Arabidopsis thaliana: one gene and its partner. The protein of the gene in region 2 purifies or fractionates together with the protein of the main gene of each other region. This does not show direct contact. Each region holds a gene or a part of one and is shown on either strand. Other genes may lie near its edges.

Evidence for each region.
Region 1: the proteins of AS2 (region 2) and CLF purify together in Arabidopsis thaliana (affinity purification with western blotting, with the first as the bait; one study listed by BioGRID). This does not show direct contact.

Annotation. Positions count from the first base shown.
Region 1 is NC_003071.7:9,952,181-9,962,045, reverse strand, and holds CLF (SET domain-containing protein), read right to left. Parts: upstream 6,955-9,865; 5' UTR 6,477-6,954; coding exon 6,414-6,476; intron 6,137-6,413; coding exon 6,044-6,136; intron 5,960-6,043; coding exon 5,658-5,959; intron 5,554-5,657; coding exon 5,392-5,553; intron 5,255-5,391; coding exon 5,170-5,254; intron 5,033-5,169; exon of another isoform or gene 4,999-5,032; coding exon of another isoform or gene 4,975-4,998; coding exon 4,840-4,974; intron 4,740-4,839; coding exon 4,692-4,739; intron 4,620-4,691; coding exon 4,548-4,619; intron 4,467-4,547; coding exon 3,766-4,466; intron 3,665-3,765; coding exon 3,514-3,664; intron 3,415-3,513; coding exon 3,191-3,414; intron 3,112-3,190; coding exon 2,980-3,111; intron 2,855-2,979; coding exon 2,764-2,854; intron 2,665-2,763; coding exon 2,617-2,664; intron 2,514-2,616; coding exon 2,385-2,513; intron 2,291-2,384; coding exon 2,213-2,290; intron 2,124-2,212; coding exon 1,929-2,123; 3' UTR 1,660-1,928; downstream 1-1,659. Other genes in the region: AT2G23390 (acyl-CoA), read left to right, coding at 99-165, 375-425, 642-694, 861-1,071, 1,156-1,326, 1,419-1,478; AT2G23370 (cyclin delta-3), read left to right, coding at 7,028-7,130, 7,267-7,350, 7,452-7,526, 7,609-7,651, 7,729-7,786, 7,883-8,050, 8,131-8,193, 8,273-8,367 and 3 more; AT2G23360 (filament-like protein (DUF869)), read right to left, coding at 9,319-9,828. UniProt on the Arabidopsis thaliana protein: Polycomb group (PcG) protein. Catalytic subunit of some PcG multiprotein complex, which methylates 'Lys-27' of histone H3, leading to transcriptional repression of the affected target genes, mainly abscisic acid (ABA) responsive elements.
Region 2 is NC_003070.9:24,394,612-24,402,307, reverse strand, and holds AS2 (Lateral organ boundaries (LOB) domain family protein), read right to left. Parts: upstream 4,166-7,696; 5' UTR 3,795-4,165; exon of another isoform or gene 2,994-3,794; intron 2,991-2,993; exon of another isoform or gene 2,596-2,990; 5' UTR 2,479-2,595; intron 2,213-2,478; 5' UTR 2,163-2,212; coding exon 1,563-2,162; 3' UTR 1,322-1,562; downstream 1-1,321. Other genes in the region: KOR2 (Six-hairpin glycosidases superfamily protein), read left to right, coding at 7,047-7,443. UniProt on the Arabidopsis thaliana protein: Negative regulator of cell proliferation in the adaxial side of leaves. Regulates the formation of a symmetric lamina and the establishment of venation.

The DNA of each region.
Region 1 (9,865 bases), on a different chromosome or scaffold from region 2:
GAAGTTAGTTGCCAGTATATTAGTTCTTAACAATGACTGGATTGGAAGTAGTTGCTATTATATTTTGTTCATTTTTTTTTTTATCTCTAATACTTCAGTTTTGACGAGTTCTTGATGGACATGAAGCAAAGCAAAAGGAAAAATATCCGACAGGAACGCAAAAAGGTTTGTTTAGTTTCCTCTTTTCATATCATCCTCATTGTGCAATTTATTCTTGTCTCTTAAGTTTCTTTGCTCATGTGAATAGTAAAATGGAATGGTTACTCTTTTTTTCTTCCCATACAACTTTTGAATTGTGGCCTTATTTCGTTATCCGTTCCTTGTGGCGTTTTTCAAGCACGCTGCTGACTTCTAATGCTCCTTTTCTCTAGTAGATTGGTACCCAGAATTTGAAAATGAGACGGCTACAAGGAGATGATATAAAGGTATGTAACTGAACTGCCACGAGACGAATTTGTTGTAATTGATTATGCCTGGCGGTATCTTTTCATTTTAATGGCTATAAATAATCAACCATGGGATATCAATCTGCTACCAGAGGTTAGAACTGATGGCACATGCTATAAAGGACATTATGGGGCTTTTATATTAATATGTGTCTTAAAAATTTGATTCATCGTTTGTGCCTAATGTTTTTGCAGGCTAGGCACTGGGATTCCTTCTATGATTTCTACAGGAACACAACTGATAACAAGTTTAGTCTTTATCTTTGAGACATTTTTGTTTTTCTTATCATTAGTACACATTATGTGTCTTTGTGCATAATAAACATACTTACATTCAATTACCTGTCATCGTCAAGTGTATGCATTACCTGTGTTTGTCCTTTCACATGCTTAACGATTTCCGGCTAATTTTAGATGGGGCACACCTTATCTCACAAGGGATTTCTTTCACGACATGGCATCGAAGTTGGGAGACAAGGTATTGCTTGTTTTAGCTGAAGAAAACGAGGAACCTGTTGCAGGAGCATTGAATCTCATTGGAGGAGATACTCTATTTGGGAGACTATGGGGATGTCGTCCCGACTCCTATTATCCTAGTCTCCATTTTGAAGCATGCTATTACCAGGTTGGTCTTGTTGTTTCAAAGTCTCAAGAGTTTTCGCCGAGACATACTTGATTAAAACTCACAAACTGATAATGGGATTCATAGGCAATTGAAGCAGCGATAGAGCTTAATCTGAAAACGGTAGAAGCTGGAGCGCAGGGTGAGCATAAGATTCAGCGAGGCTACCTTCCCGTTAAAACATATAGTTGCCATTACATATTCGATGAAGGTTTCAGGCAAGCCATAGACGAGTTTTTAGTGCGCGAATCAAATCAGGTATGTTTTGAAGTTATGGTGTTAAAAGAGTATATAAACATAGCTATGTAATTGGATCATCGACTTAAACAATGTAACTTTGTGCATCGCAGATGGATTATGTCATCAGACTGATGCATGAAGATGGACCCTTCAAAGAGAAAATAGAATAGATGCATTTATATCTTGGTTATCGCAAACATTCTTGTATATCTTAATTCTTAGGTTTATGCGTCAATGTACATTTTAATTTGGCTGCTCATGTTCGTTTTCTGATTTGGTTTTGTTACTTTCTGATCACCAAATGTACACTGACGCCTAATTTAATTTATATAGATTGTGATGTGTGAGGAATACCACATTGATGTCAGCTCCAAAGCTCACCAAGTTTCTCATCTGTAATTTAAAAACTTTAACCCGAGTCTCAGTACAATAAAATGATAATCCAGAAATGTAAAACGAAAAAAGGAAATTTTAATCCAACGAATACAATTTTTCTTTAGACTCAGCAAAATGTATGAATTTGTTTCAATGTGTTCTTCCGTGTGGAGAGTAATGAGGATTAAAGCGTTCTTCCACCTGTAACCAAAGAATTGACAAAAAAATGGTTGTTTCTTTTGTTGCTAAGCAAGCTTCTTGGGTCTACCAACAGAAGGTGTAACATTTTCGTCTTTCTTAGAACCAGGAGCTTCAGGTTTTTTGGCCCAAGCTGGAGCTCGATCTGGCTCATACCGGTAATCGTAAAATAGTTCTTCTCCAGCCAGTATCCTCTCTTTTGCGAAGATCCCCACCCTGTGATCTCCAGCAACCATGATGACCTTGAACAGATACAAAGATTTTGAGGAAAAACAGAACATACCCATCATGCGAAAACCGTATCTTTAACTTGCACTTTTCACATTTTTACCTTTGCGTAACAGTTAGGTTCAGGAGAATGGTTGGCGAATTTCAGTTTATCTCCTTTCCTGTAAGCATCTAGCACAAACTGCAGCACAATCCAAAAACATTTTAAAATTTGAAGACAACCTAGAGACTAGAGAGAAAGAGAGTTGGGACATTTCAAAGCTGCTGAGACGTGCCTGATCGTTTAGATTGAAGAGAAAAGAGCAGTTCTCGCGATCGTATATCTTCCCGCGTTTATCTGCCTCTTTATGTGAGATCAGCTCTCCTGTGTATTCCCCAAGGTATTCATGCTTACTTACACTGTTCTGTAAGAAGGAAAAATAATTGTTCTTAAGGCAAGTTCATACTCTAAACATAGATTAATCTTTGAAGGACTTATCAGTTTAACAAATTTTGAACCTAATATACCTTTAAGAAAGCTCCCCAACCAGAAACATCAGATATTCCAAGTAAAACCTGAAATTAACATAAAAAAGAGGAGGAAATTTAGCCATTTCATGTTTAATCATTTGATTGCAGATCATAGATATTTAGTTAACAAGGCTAAGTATTTACCCTTTGTTGTTGTTTCAGGAGCAATTTCATATTCCTGCACTCATAATTATCGCCTCTTTGGCTTGGGACCCCAAGCGAACCATCCCCACCACTACACATTCAAATTCATTCAGACACAGTATAAGTGCATCTGGAACTACTAAAAAAAAAGTTGCATTTCTTGAGCATTTTCTAAGAAACCAATTAGGATGGATTTGCATCCCCAATAAGACTTACATGACCCAGCAGTTTCTACAAACATCTGGGTCACATTCCCGATCTGCAGCAAAGCATGGACACTGGCGGCTTCGACACTGACTTTTGGCACAATGACAACCTCTAAACCTATTCTTGCAGCTCTTTGGGCAACTACACAGAAAATATAGTTTGTTGGTAATGAGATTCAAAGCTAAGAAATACAGATGTGGATAATCATAGATTACATTACCCGCAGTACTTCTCGCAGCAAGTCCCGTTTAGCAAACAAGGACATTCCTTCCCACAAGCAATTTTGCAGTTACATGGATTAAACTGACGGCAGGGCTGGTCTTTCTTCTCAGTAATTCTTTTCCTAATTGAATGATATGCAGCAGACTTCCAGGTATACTTCAAGCGCCGCACTTTGCCTCTCCTACGTAGAAATCTTGACCTTCTCCTCACTTGGTTATTAACCTGGTTAGTCCAGAAACTAAAGCATTAAATCCGAAGAGAAATAAATCGATTTTATCAGGAATTTGTAAACAAAGTCAAAAAGGTTTAGTGTTAATATACCATATTTCCATTGATATCGAACTTGGAAGAGCCATCAGGATTCAATCCATCACCTCCAAAGAAGGAAGCTTTATTTTCCGAGCACGTCATGTATTGGAAGACCTCCCAACATGATTTGAAACCACTCAAAAGATTTCTAGCAATCAAGCAGCTGCAAAGAAACAAAGAATCCATATGACTATATTCCACAAATTGAAAAACCTGAAGCAGAATGATAATTTAGCAGTAGCTAAATACATCAAAATTACCCACCTATTCATTCCAAAAATCTCAACACCTTTATCAAAAAGGCTTTTCTCAAGTGGTCTCCACAACTTATTTGTAGCCAATCTTCCTCGAGATACAGTTTCACCCATAAACTCTTCTTTCCTTAGACTTTCATCACTACCCGGCGCATCAAGCTCTGACGCAACCTCATTTGACTGGCAAACAGGAACGTCATCCTTCACAGAATTATTGGAGACTTCGGCAGGAGTGCCATTCTTCCTTGACTTCCCGGAGTTCCCAGATTTTACATGCTTCTGAGAAGAGGAAGTAGCATCTTCATTATCTTTATGTTTTGCATCGCTGGGTGAACAACTTCCACTGGCGATGGAATCACTATCCGAGGCTTCTGTCTTCTTCTGCCTCTTCTGAGTCTTACGAGGAACTCGCTCAGCAACTCGGTTTTTGTTCCTCTTACGACCTACTCGTCTCCCACTACCTTTCACCTTTGGCGATGATGAAACTTTATCGGAATTGGTATCCTGCTGTAGTCCATTCTCTGAGTCACTTGTTTCTAGTGCGCACTTTTCATTAGACGATGCACTTTCACTTGGGAAGGTCTTTGGTTTTCTCCCATTAAGTTTGCTGGAGAACTTCGTGGGTGTGGTTTTAGTACCTGCACCATCTGATGAAGTGCCAGTTTTACCTTCAATGGTGCCATATCCCGGAAATCTTCCAGACTTGAGAAGCTGATAAATTGAAAACAACGCTTTTTGTTAAACCAGTCTTTCTAGGAGATGAGCTTAGCAACGAGAAAATAACAAATTTACCGTTTTATAGCAGTTTGCACCACAGGTTAAATTTTCATCTACAGGAGGACACCATGGAGCTGGTTTCTCAGCCTAAAAATCCATAAAATTAGATAAGTAACACTAAAGTTATAGTAAGATTTTTTCGGTTGGCACTAAACTCACCGGAAAAATGAGATCCTGTGAACACCCATGAAGCCGGCAATCAAATACCTGCATAGATGCATACAAAAGTTAAAAAGAGACCAATGTTTGCTCGATCATTAAGCAATAACCCATGAAACATTAGCCTGAGAAAATCAAATGGACTAACAAGGCATCTACGGCAGAACAGGTTATCGAAAGAATCTAATGCTCCTTCCATATCTTTGTTGAGAAGGGAGCTCTCTGCTTGATTATCGCCACTCTCGGATACTTCTTTTTCCTTCATAAGCACTCCATGTCTTGCCTGTATAAGATGGTCGGTGTTCATATCTCTGCAAAAAGCCAATTGGGAAAGGGCTGGAACAATACTAATTGGATTTCCTTAAACAATGCATCCCTCACTCTGTTTTGAAATCCTACAACTGAAGTGCTTGATTCTAAAGAAAATAGCACATGATAGTTCACACAAGCAATAGGCAGAGAAAAAAGTTGTTGATACCTTGATTTCACTAGTACTTCTAGACAAGAAACTTGCTAGTTCCGCCAGGACTGAGTCTGAAAGACCTAGTTGCTCAAGGGTCATGCTGAAGAAACGAAGGGAAATTTAATCCAACAATATAAGTGAGAACAAACCAGCATAACAGTTGACATAGCAGACAAGAGATTCACACTAAGAGACCAAAATGCAAGAATGATTAAACTCCTGCCATTTAATACTAACCGAATAATATAATCTTCAGGCTCCAAAAAATCTCTTTTTTCTTCTTCGTCGTCAATGGCCTCCTCTTCACTATCACTGCAGATAAGCGCTTCCCCGCCAGTTTGATCATAATAAATTCTCCTTCGACCCACTACAGACTGGTCTTCAGTCATTCTTTGATTTCTGCATCATTTCAAGAGTGATTATAACGTTAAGATACTATGCGAGGGGCTTACATTTCAACTTGAATATTTTCAAGTACTCTTGCGACATTAATGTCAACATACCTGTCCAGAAAAACCCATGTGGTATAAGGTGACAAACGTTTGATATCAGGCATTTTGATAGGACGTAAGGAAATTTTGACAGGGACACTAGATCCTTGAACCATTCCTGAACTGGCAGGTCCATCTTCTACATATCTGTTGTTATTACTTTCATCGATTCCGCTTTTCATACCTGGCGAATCTCTTTGCCTCTTAACTAAAAGATCACTGCCATCTTTACAGCTACCTCCTCGTTCCATAGAAGACCTCATAAAACTTTGAGTAATAGCAAACAAATTCTTCTTGTTTTCATCAATCCTTTTCTGGTTACAAACACATCAATTTCTAACAATCAGATTCAGAAACACATAAAACATACAAAAAAAAAACTAAACAAAAATAGCAACCTTTATTGATATACACCTATCAGCTGCAAGCTTCTTCTTTAGCGATTCTATTACTTCTGATACTTCCTTAGAAGCTGGACCTCTCTCCTCCGCCTGAAACATCAAAATGAGGTTCCTTTACACAGTGTTCAATGAGAGAAACTATCAATTGCAGCAAAAATGGTTCCTAAACGAACCCAAAAACAACTTCATATCTCACAATCCAGCAATCTCTAGATCTAAAAACGAGCATATAGAGAAGCTCAAACAAGCCATCGAGTTTCGTTCTCTTCACTCAAACTAAAGCAAATCAAAGTCAATGCCTCAATAGCACAAAGAAAAAAGTTCCATTTTTAGAAAGTAAGAAAAAAAAAAAAAACGATTGACGCACCGGAGAGTCTTTGGGTGGCTCCGATCTGGTGGCCGAAGAAGAAGGCGAAGCTTCTGACGCCATTGTCAAGAAACCAGATCGGAACCGAAACAAATGCGGGTCCGGGTTAAGATCCGGGTCGCGAAATCTGAAATGTTGGAGGAGAGAAGGAATTTGGCGGGTCGTTATAAACCCTAAAAATTTATCTTCAATTTTGTTTTTATTTTGGATCTTTTATCTTCAAATCCAAAAAAAATTTCGTTTTACTTTTAAAGAACATTGTTTACGAATTGGGAAGCGTGTAAATTAGAAACTTTTTCCAATTATTTAAAAAAAAAAAAGTTGGTGGGAAAATAGCGACGTGGCAGCTCGATTTGAATTATCTACTGTACATCTCCGGCGACGGTTTACCGGAATATCACGTAGCTCGAGACAACGAATCTACTAGAGTTCGAGACTGGTTCTATATCAACTGAACAAAACAAACACGAACGTTGCTGGGCTCTGATTTAATGGGCTCTTAAACCCTATTTGTTTGGGCTTTATTTTTTGTTTTTTTTTTCAGCAACAGCTTTTCGAAGTCTCTCTGTAATCTCATCGGACGAGAAACAGTACGGCGATCGGAAAACTCTGAGATGCATCGCGGCGCGGCGGTTTTCGGACGGAAACGTAGACTGATACTTCTCCATGGCAGCAGAAACTTCGCCAGATCCTTTTGCTCTTCTTCTTCACTATCTGGTGAGAGGGATTCACATCTTCGCTATTTCATTTGCAACTTCTGGAAGCTGTGCGATGGCTTGAGATTGGTTTATGATTCTTACGGTGCCGAATTTGAACAATCAGTGAATCGAAGTTAACGATTGATTATGTGCAGAACATGAATGTTTCATTAAGGATATAGCAAAAGCTCAGCCTCCTAAGCATCTGATGCAGCTGCTGAATATATTCACAGCTAGAGGTAAATCAATCTTACACTGACTTGCTGATCGTATTTTCGAAGTTTTTGTTTGTTAACTTGCGGAATGGTGACTTTTGCTTGTGGTAATGACATTGGATCAGGTAAATCCATAGTTTCTCCTGGTGCCAAGCAAGGCTTGTTACCTCTTACTATTCCGTTGGTGAAAATGAGCCCGGGTATGATTCTGGACTTGTACATAAGTTCTTATCTGAGGTTGTAACACTTTCATATTAAGTTTGTATGACTTTCCTTTTTCAGGTTCTTCAATTGCTCTATTACGGTGGCCAACAGCTCCTTCTAGGTTAGATCCTCCTTGCTTTTTTAATATCGTCATGTTTCTCTTCTTTTGTAGCTTATCATTGTTTGTGGTGTTTGCAGTATGGAGATGCCTGTGGTGGAAGTTCAGAAACATGGGGTTTGGTTTCTAGCTAATAATGTAATGAGTCTTTTTATAGCATTACTGATGCGTTAATTTAGGGTTATTTTTGTTGAGTGTTCATTCTCATATCTGACTTCATTGGCCAACATTCAGGTTGATCAGTTCATTCACAGAATATTGGTGGAAGAAGATGTTTCCAAACCCGAAGAATGCAGCCAAGAAATCTTCAATGCTGCTGGTGAAGCTGGGAAGAAACTTTACAGTAAGGGTGACTTTGCCAGTTCAAGACTGATGGATTTAGATGCCTATCTTTTAAGAAAGGTACATATATTGAGCCTGTTAATATCAGAATCTTTTCTGCACATGGATACTGGGATATGATTATTAGCTTTGTAATTCAGGTTGGATTGTTTCCAGATTCTCTTGAACGAAAAGTTATTCGGCATATCGAGAATGGAGACCATGTAAGGCTAGTAATTATATCTATCCTGTTGTAGTTGACGTGTTTTCTCTTTTTAAACTATCTTCACGTGCTAATACAAGGTTTCAGCTTTGGTGGCTACCGAGTTTTATACAAAGAGAGGGAACTTTCCCGGATTTGCCCGGCCATTCGCTTTCAACGCAAAAGTTTTACTGAAGTTCGTATGATCCTTTCTCATCATCCCTCTTTCTCCCTTGTGAACGACCCCCAGGTAAATGCTTACGTCCTTTCTAGAAAACTCTAAGACCTCTATATATTTTGTAGACTTGGGCGTAACTTAGAAGCGAAAGACGCAGCTAGGGGTGCTTTGAAATCTTCGTGGTGGACCTTAGGATGCAGATATGAGGTACAATTCCTTGACTATCGACAAGCAATTTTGGTAATCGAAAAGAGAAGGGAAAAAAGTGTTGAACATATGAAACGGGTTCCCAGGAAATTGCTCAAATAGCAGAGTGGGGAGAAGAGCAAATTGCGCAGTATAAGGAGAGAGTTACAGGAGAAGGAAAACAACGGGATATAGACAGGGGAAAGCCAATGGCTCAGGTTTGTTCTTTGCCTGTATTCATTATCAGATACTCATATCATGCTTATGGATACAAAGGCTTGAAACAAAACTTGTAATTCTCAGGCATCTTTGGACGAGGCTGCGTTCTTACTGAATCTAGCGTCACTTGAAGGGACATGGGACGAATCACTGGAACGGGTTGCTCAGTGCTACAAGGAAGCTGGACTTAACGACATCGCCAAGTTTGTTCTGTACAGAGATTGAGAAGTCTCTTTTAAAGGCCACAATTTGTTCTTTTGAGACCTGAGATGACATTATATCAAATGATCTTATGCATTTAGTGTCTACGTTGAAGATTTACATTAACCCTGCTAAAGATTCATTGGGTCAAGATTACTGATTGTATCCTTTCTGAGACTAAAAGTGGAATAAAGCAGAATGATCATCTTATAGAGTAATACTCTACGTGGAGATTATATATATACTGCCAAAAAAATCTAGAAAATGACAGTTTAGTTTGCATAGTTTGGGTCTTTGGGACCATATAAAGAAACAGGATTAAGGTATTAGATTATAGTCTAGATGACAGATGCCACCATCTTCTTAGTTGGCAAATGGATTAGGGACCTTCTTGCTCTTACCTTTCTTATTTCTCCCCAACAGCTTTCTCCAGAGGCTCTTAACTCCGCCGGTCTTTTTCTGAGGAACAATGGCAAAGCAGTTTGAGTCGGAGCCTTTGCTTTTGTCTGAGAGAAGAATCTGTTCTAGTGCCTCAATGGTTTCATTGTAAACAGAGCTGTTTCCTCCCTTTCCGTTTTTATCTGCTGCTTGCGGTTTCTGATCCTTGGATTCCCCGGTGTTGTGATCTTCTGCCTTCATCTGATCCAAAAGAGATGATCTCTGGCTGGTCAATCTCTTCTCTGGTTTAGTAGTCTCATGTGAAGGTTGTGCATCAGGTAGGTTGTTCGATTTGTCTGTAACGTCGTACATGAGTGTTTCTGAAAGTAAAGCTGTTTCCTTTGAGTTAGTCAATGCCTTGAGCTGCTTTCCCAGGTTTAGAATCGTCTCTTGACACTCGGCCAACTTTTCTGAAGCAGCAGCGATTTCCAATTCCTGAATCATCAAACACATAAAACAGATTGGTCTTGGA
Region 2 (7,696 bases):
TCTTCAAAAGTACTCTGAAAATTTGGGGGATTTTGGTCAACACTGGGAATTGTGTCGATACTTGTCATTAAATATCTTTAATTAATGAATAAATCAATAAAAGTGTAAATATAGATACTATAATCATCATTGTTATGTATCTTAAATGCGATTGACTAGTTGACAATAATAATGCAATTGAATTGACTAGATACAGTTGCATTGTGAAACGCAAGACGAAGAAAAAAAAACGCGTCTTTAACTAAACAAGTTTCCTTCTTTTTAAAGCAATCAGAGAAAAAGAAAGAAACTATCTTTAAACAAGGTTTTTACTTTGATTTCAATCAGCTTATTAGTTCATTTTCCATAATTCATTAAGAAACGTTTAACTCACAAAGTTTCATCCCACCACATAAGTTAGTTTTATTTATAGCATCTGGGGGATTACGAAATGTTACCAATCATAGCTAGTATTTTACAAAGTATGCTGAAAATTATTATTTTTTGTATTTACAAGATACTAATTTAGTTTTATCTTCTGAAAATCTTCGTTGATGGGTATATATTCAGAGGTCTTTGTAATTTTTTTTTGTAATTTTTTAGTTTTTGAAAATAACTGATCATATCTGTTTATTAAAATTCTTTTCACTAATATATGTTTGTAGGTTTTGTGAAAGGCGCCCTCTATATCACTAACTTTTTCTGTGAATTTTCAACTTGCATATAGAGTAATAGCACCAGTAATTTAATTGAGATTTTGCATATTACTATACCCAAATAGTAAAATAAGGAACTAGTAACTTTATCAAAAAAAACTAAATTAGTTGATGTGACAATTAGTATTTACAACAACAATAAATAGAGTCATCATAAATAGATGAAGGAGACTTTTTAATTAGAGAGAAAGCCTAGAAAGAGCTAGTGGGTATAATTCGCCCGGAGATAAGATGTTTCATGTTCATGTTATATTCCGTTAAGCCTCTTCTTACATCAAATCTTATCCTTGACGCTGACAGTGTTCCACATCAAACCTCTTTTCTTGCAAATATCATTTATATAAATATGTCAATTTTAAATGTTTTTAATAGTTTTCCTTTATTATTTAATTTTAAAATTTGAACTACAAAAAAAATAAAAGGAAAACACTATAATACATTTATCTACATGGTATACACTATATTTCATATTCATAATTTTTACTAATAATGTTTTTTAAATACTTAAGAAGTCTAACATTAACCATTAAAATCACTCAATGATTAACTGAATTTAGGTCTATATTCTTGCTGGAGGTACATATGCGGATCAATAGACTCGACATATTTGGAAATAATATACTCTATAATGCAAGTATGTGATATCAATTAAGAGAGCAAGTCCATAAAATTTGAAAGAAATACAAAAGTGACTATCATAATATATCTAAGTAATAATAATAATAAAAACCGAAATTAATGTCATTAAGAGAGACGTACCATACGTTTAAAATATTTTGGTTTTCCACATCAAATATTTTCTTAAAATTATAGTTTTCTCATCACCAAGCGATCGACGAAGATGAACACCACCAAAACCCTAAAATCTCAAGACGGATCAACAGTACGGCGACCATCATCTCCAGCGGCGGCTCTCGGCTGCTGAAACTGAGTGATCTGTCCAATGGCAAGAATCCCACCGTCGTAGTTGTTACCGGCCGGAACATCCAAGCCACCAAACATTTGTTCTCTAGGAAAAAACTGGTGGTGGTGATAGTGGTCTCTCACGGCGGTGGCTGTTCCATCTGCTGCTCCGGCGAGTAAGTTGATGCCAAGACTCTGATGAGTGGCGGCGAGGATACCGAGGCTTTGGTACTTAGAGAGCTCAGATTTAGCACAGCTGAGATCTATCTGAAGCTGACGAAGCTGATGTTGGAGGAGAGAGATGACGCCGACGCAGCCGTAGACAGGGTCACGGAGGCGCATGTCGGCTTCATAGGCCAAAGAGTTCACTGCGTCTTCACGTTGTGAAGGGTGAAGCTCGTTGAGGAGCTTTGTCACGTTACTTGCTCCAAACACTTTGTGAACGTTTGCGAATTTTTGTGGCTGGTCCGGTGGGAAATAGGGCGCGAATACACATTCCGGTTGACATTTTCGCCGGAGGAATTTGCAAGCGGCGCATGGTGAGTTTGTTGAAGAAGATGCCATTTTAATGACTTGAAAATGGAGTTTTTCAATTTTTTCTCTTTTCCCTCTCCCTACACAAAGCCGCCATTGAAAATTGAGAGAAATAAGGGTTTTTGAATTTAGTTTTTGGAGGTAGAAGGTATAAGGAAACAAAAAAAGATATTATGAAATCAATTGTGATTTTGGAGATATTACATTATCTGTTTTTGTAATCAAATATGAAATTAAGTGAGAAAATAAAGAAAGAAATAATGTAGAGAAGTTGCTCAATCTTTATTGTTGTCAATTAAAAAAAAAAAAAAGTTGTTCAATCTCTATAGAATAAGAAAGCTTTTACCTGCGAGTAAATTAAAGAAGCCTTTCTTTGAATAATGGCTTCTGTTGCTCAGAGGGGAAATAAAAGAAGATCCTCTCTGCTTTCTTTAAGCTGCTATTTGGGGTTGCATACAAAAAGCTGTAAAATAAGAGAAACTTTGCAATTAGTAGTATTAAAGATATTTGGTGAGCTATATATGCACATACACTACACACACACATAAGTGTATATGTATACTTATATATACTGATCCAACCTTCTTGTCAACTGTTGAAAGCAAATAGAGGAAAAAATGAGTAACATGAAGGTGCTTTTCGAAAGTCAAACATAAAGGTATGCATCCAAATATATAATATATGCTTGGGAGATAAAAGATCATTTCAGACCTAGAGATATGTGTAGCTATATGATATAGAGGAACTTGTAGCTATATGATTGCTAGTCAAATTTTGGTAACTAGACCTAAGAGTCTAGAGACAACCTGAGAGATTTAAAATCATTATAAAAACAAATTAAAAAGAGATGGAAATTTGTACCGTGTAGTTGGAATGCGTATGGATGGATTAACGAAATATAGGGAACAAAACAGATGGGATCAATGGTGTTCTTTGTGTTGCTTATAGGTAGGTATGAGAGAGGGAAGAAGAAGAGAGAAGAGAAGGAAGAAGATGTAATTAATTACTAAAAAGCAAAAGATTGGATCTCGTGAAGAAGAAGAGACTTTTGGGTTTTGAGGCTCTCGATGGGCAAAGCTCATCTTGTGCTTAAATTTCCTATTATATTAGTATTTTATAAGAAAATGAGCTAATAAATATGATAAGACTAGTACTAATTAATGTTATTTATTTTTAATATATATACTTAACTAAATAAATAACTATAGAGTATACCTTCAATAGTAATAGGATTTGGTACTAGAGGGAATTGATTTCCATGTGAAGAAGTTGCGAGTTTCTAAGGAGAAGAAGGGATATTGGGATGAACCCTTGGACCCTAGCATAGACTCTAACAACAATAATAACAATAAATGTATAGTTATTAGTATTAAATTTCAAAATAAAAAAGTATCTAGAAAGAAAAAAAAGGAAATAAATGTGAAAAGGAGAGATGGGAAATGAGAGATGGGGTCTGACTCTGACTCTCCTGATGGATCTTGGGATGAAGAATTTTGCTCTTTTTATTCTTATTCTTTTTGTCTAGGGATTTACATACAGTAACCAAGCATTTTGTTATTACTATTATTATACTCTCTACTAGTAATTCGCATTAATATTATATGATACGGTTTGACAAAAGCTAAAATATAAATACAGTCGAAAAGTTGATAATGAAGTTACCGTCCTCAAAGTTTCTTCGGTCAAACCCATTTTTTCATGTTTCTTTATACCAAAATCCATAAGAATCTACTGCCACTTTCTTTCTTCTCTTCTCTCTCTTTCTCTAATTACAATATATAATATTATATTAGGATCATGCAAGTGTCTTTATTTTTGACTCGCTAGTTTTACGCAAAGTAAGAAAGAAAAAAAATAGAAAAGAAAATAAGTGAAAGAAAAGAGGAAGGCATAGAAAGATGATGAGTTTAGGATCAGTACTCCCTAAGGTGTAGGGAGATAGAAAGAGAAAATCGCCCAGATGCAGAGGCTAAGGAAACGGAGAGAAAGAACAACTTTTATGGTGTGTCGATATATAGAGATAGAGAGAGAGTGAGTGATCACGGACTCTGTCTTTCTTCTCTATATATATCTTCATACTTTCCTCTACGGGAAAATTAGGAGATATACCATGAAACTTGTTTATATAATGATACCTACTTTGTTTTTGGAGTTTAAAAGATAACCCATGATTAGTAACCCTATGAGATTAATGTTACTGGGACATTAGTAATTTTTAAGATGAGGTTATAGTATTTTTTGTTTATGCATTTTTAGTTTGAATTTCCAAATGTGAAGGGAATAGAAAAACATTAATGGAAGTTTTGTATCGAACTGTTGAGAAAGGGGTTAGAGACAGTGGCACCGTTTCTTAGATGCTTTAGGTTTTTAGACATTTTGGTGTTAATAATTGAAGTTACATTCTCAAGACACAAGACTTTGTATATAGTTCTGCATTTTGTTGTATATCTTAAAAATCCTCGAAAATGTTATTATCAGAAATGGATACTTGTTTTTAGTTGGTTTCATAAAGTGTGCCATTTTTGTATAACAACAATACAACCATAATTCAAGTTCATTTTTACTAGTAACTACAGTACTTTTTTTTATGAATCTGAAACCTCAACCAACAGAGCCAAATTCAACCAATACAACAACTACAATAAATGTGTACATTTACCTTATGTACTAGCAGAAATATTCTAAAACTTTGGGTTAAGCGATTGTCAAGGTTTTAAACTCTCTTTTTTCACTACTAGTTCTCCTTTCTTGGTAACAAATGTCAAGTTAAGCAAATTTAAACACTCGATTAAGTAATCAGAACCGAAATTTAGTTGGTCTCTACGATTAGGTCATCACTTTTTACGTACGACCTAACCTAACGAAGAAGCGTGCAAAGAGAAAAAAGAATGGTTATCATGATCATATAACATTTAAAACATTAGTCAATTTGGAGAGAGAACAAGAATGGGAAATGAATAGAAGCAAGTGGGTCGTGGTTGCATATTGCATTGTTGTAATTACTGTTGGAGCAGAGTCTGCAACACTATTTACTCGTACCCATTTTCAAACGACAACCATTCCTTTTATTTATATATTTATTCATTACTTTTGAAATAAAACTATTCATGTCTTCATGTTCTTTGTCTTCTTCCTTCGTTTATAACAATGGGTCCAAAAATCATAGAATTCACACCATATGGATGGTTACACTCCTTCTCTCCAATTAATATTCATAATAAGTATGTTTGGCTGATATCGTTTTCATATTTTTCCATTATTATATATACATTGCGTCTTCTTCTAAAACTAGTTTGGATTTAAATTACAATGTTTTCCACATTTCGGGCCCTACTTACAAGCTTTTTAGTATATAAGTAATAAGTTTACGATTAAGTAAAATCATCTCCAATTTTGAAAATGTTACCTGAACAATCAAGTATAGAAAGTAAGACTAAAATAGTAAAACCAAATACTTCTAAGAATTGTTACACTAGAATAGTTACACTATAACAGTTAATGGAGCTATCCACTTTTGACTAGTCTTGCGGATATATAAACATCTTTATTCAGATAACTCATGGTGACATAAAAAGATTAAAAAAGTTTATTTGATAAACTAAGTATTTGAAACAAAACATTATTTTAACACTTTTAACAGAATTCTAACTTATAACTGACTATATTGATAGTGAGTACATTATCACAATCCTCTATACATATTTTAGGGTTCCTCATTCAAGTATGAGGTTTCTAATACATTTTACTTGGGATAATGGTTCTTTTAGCAATTCATCTCGACATAAGTTAGATCGAATTTCTGTTACGTGAAGAAAACAAAATTTGCTTACATAATCTCTCAACTGAAAAATCCTTGGAACAAAATAAACAGTTTGTGAAGGGTGGCCCAAGCCCAATTAATAAATAGCGAAAGCTAAATGAAAGCCCAATAGATATTAGCTCATTATAGTATTTTCCATACGCTTCACAACATCTAGCGAAGACCAATTTACCGCAGCCTGTCAACAACGCTAGCTACCATAAAATCATATACACGAATGCTCATATTTAGATCATAGCTATGTGAGCTATCTATATTTTCTGCCGCAAGTTACACAAACTATGAAATTTCGTGTTAAAAAAATAGGGAAACTATAGACGGTAAGAACTAAGAAGGATCAACACAAACATTATGTAATCACTCTGTTTTATCAAATCCTCCCTATCAGAAACTATATTATCACTCTCTGTCTCTGTCAATAACATATCAGAGTCATAGTGTTCGGACTTAGGAATGAGGACGTCAATCACACCAACAAAAACAAATGACAAACTCTAAAGAGACTTTAGAATCAGACAATCAGAACCCGAAATAAAAACCCGACTTAAGAACCCTAGAAGACTTGACTGGAAGTCTGAAAAAAGATTTAGTAGAATCTTGTCAAGGTATACAACAAGTAGCCCGAGTTTTGTTGAACGTAGAAACCAAGCTATAACCATGTCATTTACCAAAACATTGATATTTTTTTCTTTTAGGCCCCAAAAAAATACATAGGACATATAGTTATATTCGATTCAAATTAAAATCTGATGTAGGCTTATTGCAAAAAAAAAAATCAATAAACTAAAATTATTTGCTTTTTAATTAATGTTTGGTTGCCAAAAAAAAACATTAAAATTATTTGAAACAAGTCTTCAAACTAATAAATATAAAAAAATTCGATTACAATTCTACTAGAATATACAATATAGACACATCGTTCCCATTTCCTAAGACCCAATTTTGGTCAACTCACTCTTTAATAAAATCCCTCTCACCGATCATTAACCAAAATTAAGTAGACTTCTTATTTTTTCCATAGAAAAAAAGAACTCTTTATATCCTTTCTATATTTCTTCTCCAAAAAAAACCTTAATCATCCAAGCTCTTTCGAAATGCATCCCGGGAATGTATGGGGTGGGTCGCTAGACGCCGTAGACAGCGACCGTATTGCGGCAGAGGAGGAAGAACGGCTGAGGAACACGACGGAGTGGGACAGAGGAGCTATTCACTCACAGAGAAGTGAATTAGACGAAACGCAACAAGGCTGGTTGCTTGCACCGCAAGATAATTGGAGAAAGAAGAAGAAGAAATATGTAAACCTAGGTTGTGTTTCCGTGAGCCGCACGGTTTTCTTGTGGACCGTTGGATCTATTGCCGTCTTGTTTCTCGTCGTTGCTCTTCCGATCATTATCGTCAAGTCGTTGCCTCGTCATAAGTCTGCACCTCCTCCGCCTGATAATTACACTCTTGCCCTTCACAAAGCACTTCAATTTTTCGATGCTCAAAAATGTAAGTCTTCCTTATTATTCTTTATTTTTTGCCGACTATTTTTTCTTATTTATATATTTACATTGTGCATAGTATAATGATGATAGTTAAATTTTAAAATATTTAACTAGAAACTTAAAAAGATGACAAGAAAAAAAAAGACGACTAGATTTTCTGAGTTATCAAATTTTCATTTCTTACTTTTATGGAGTCCAATTTTCATCCAATTTCTATAGAAAAAAAAAATTAAAAATATCTACACCCTTTAAATTAG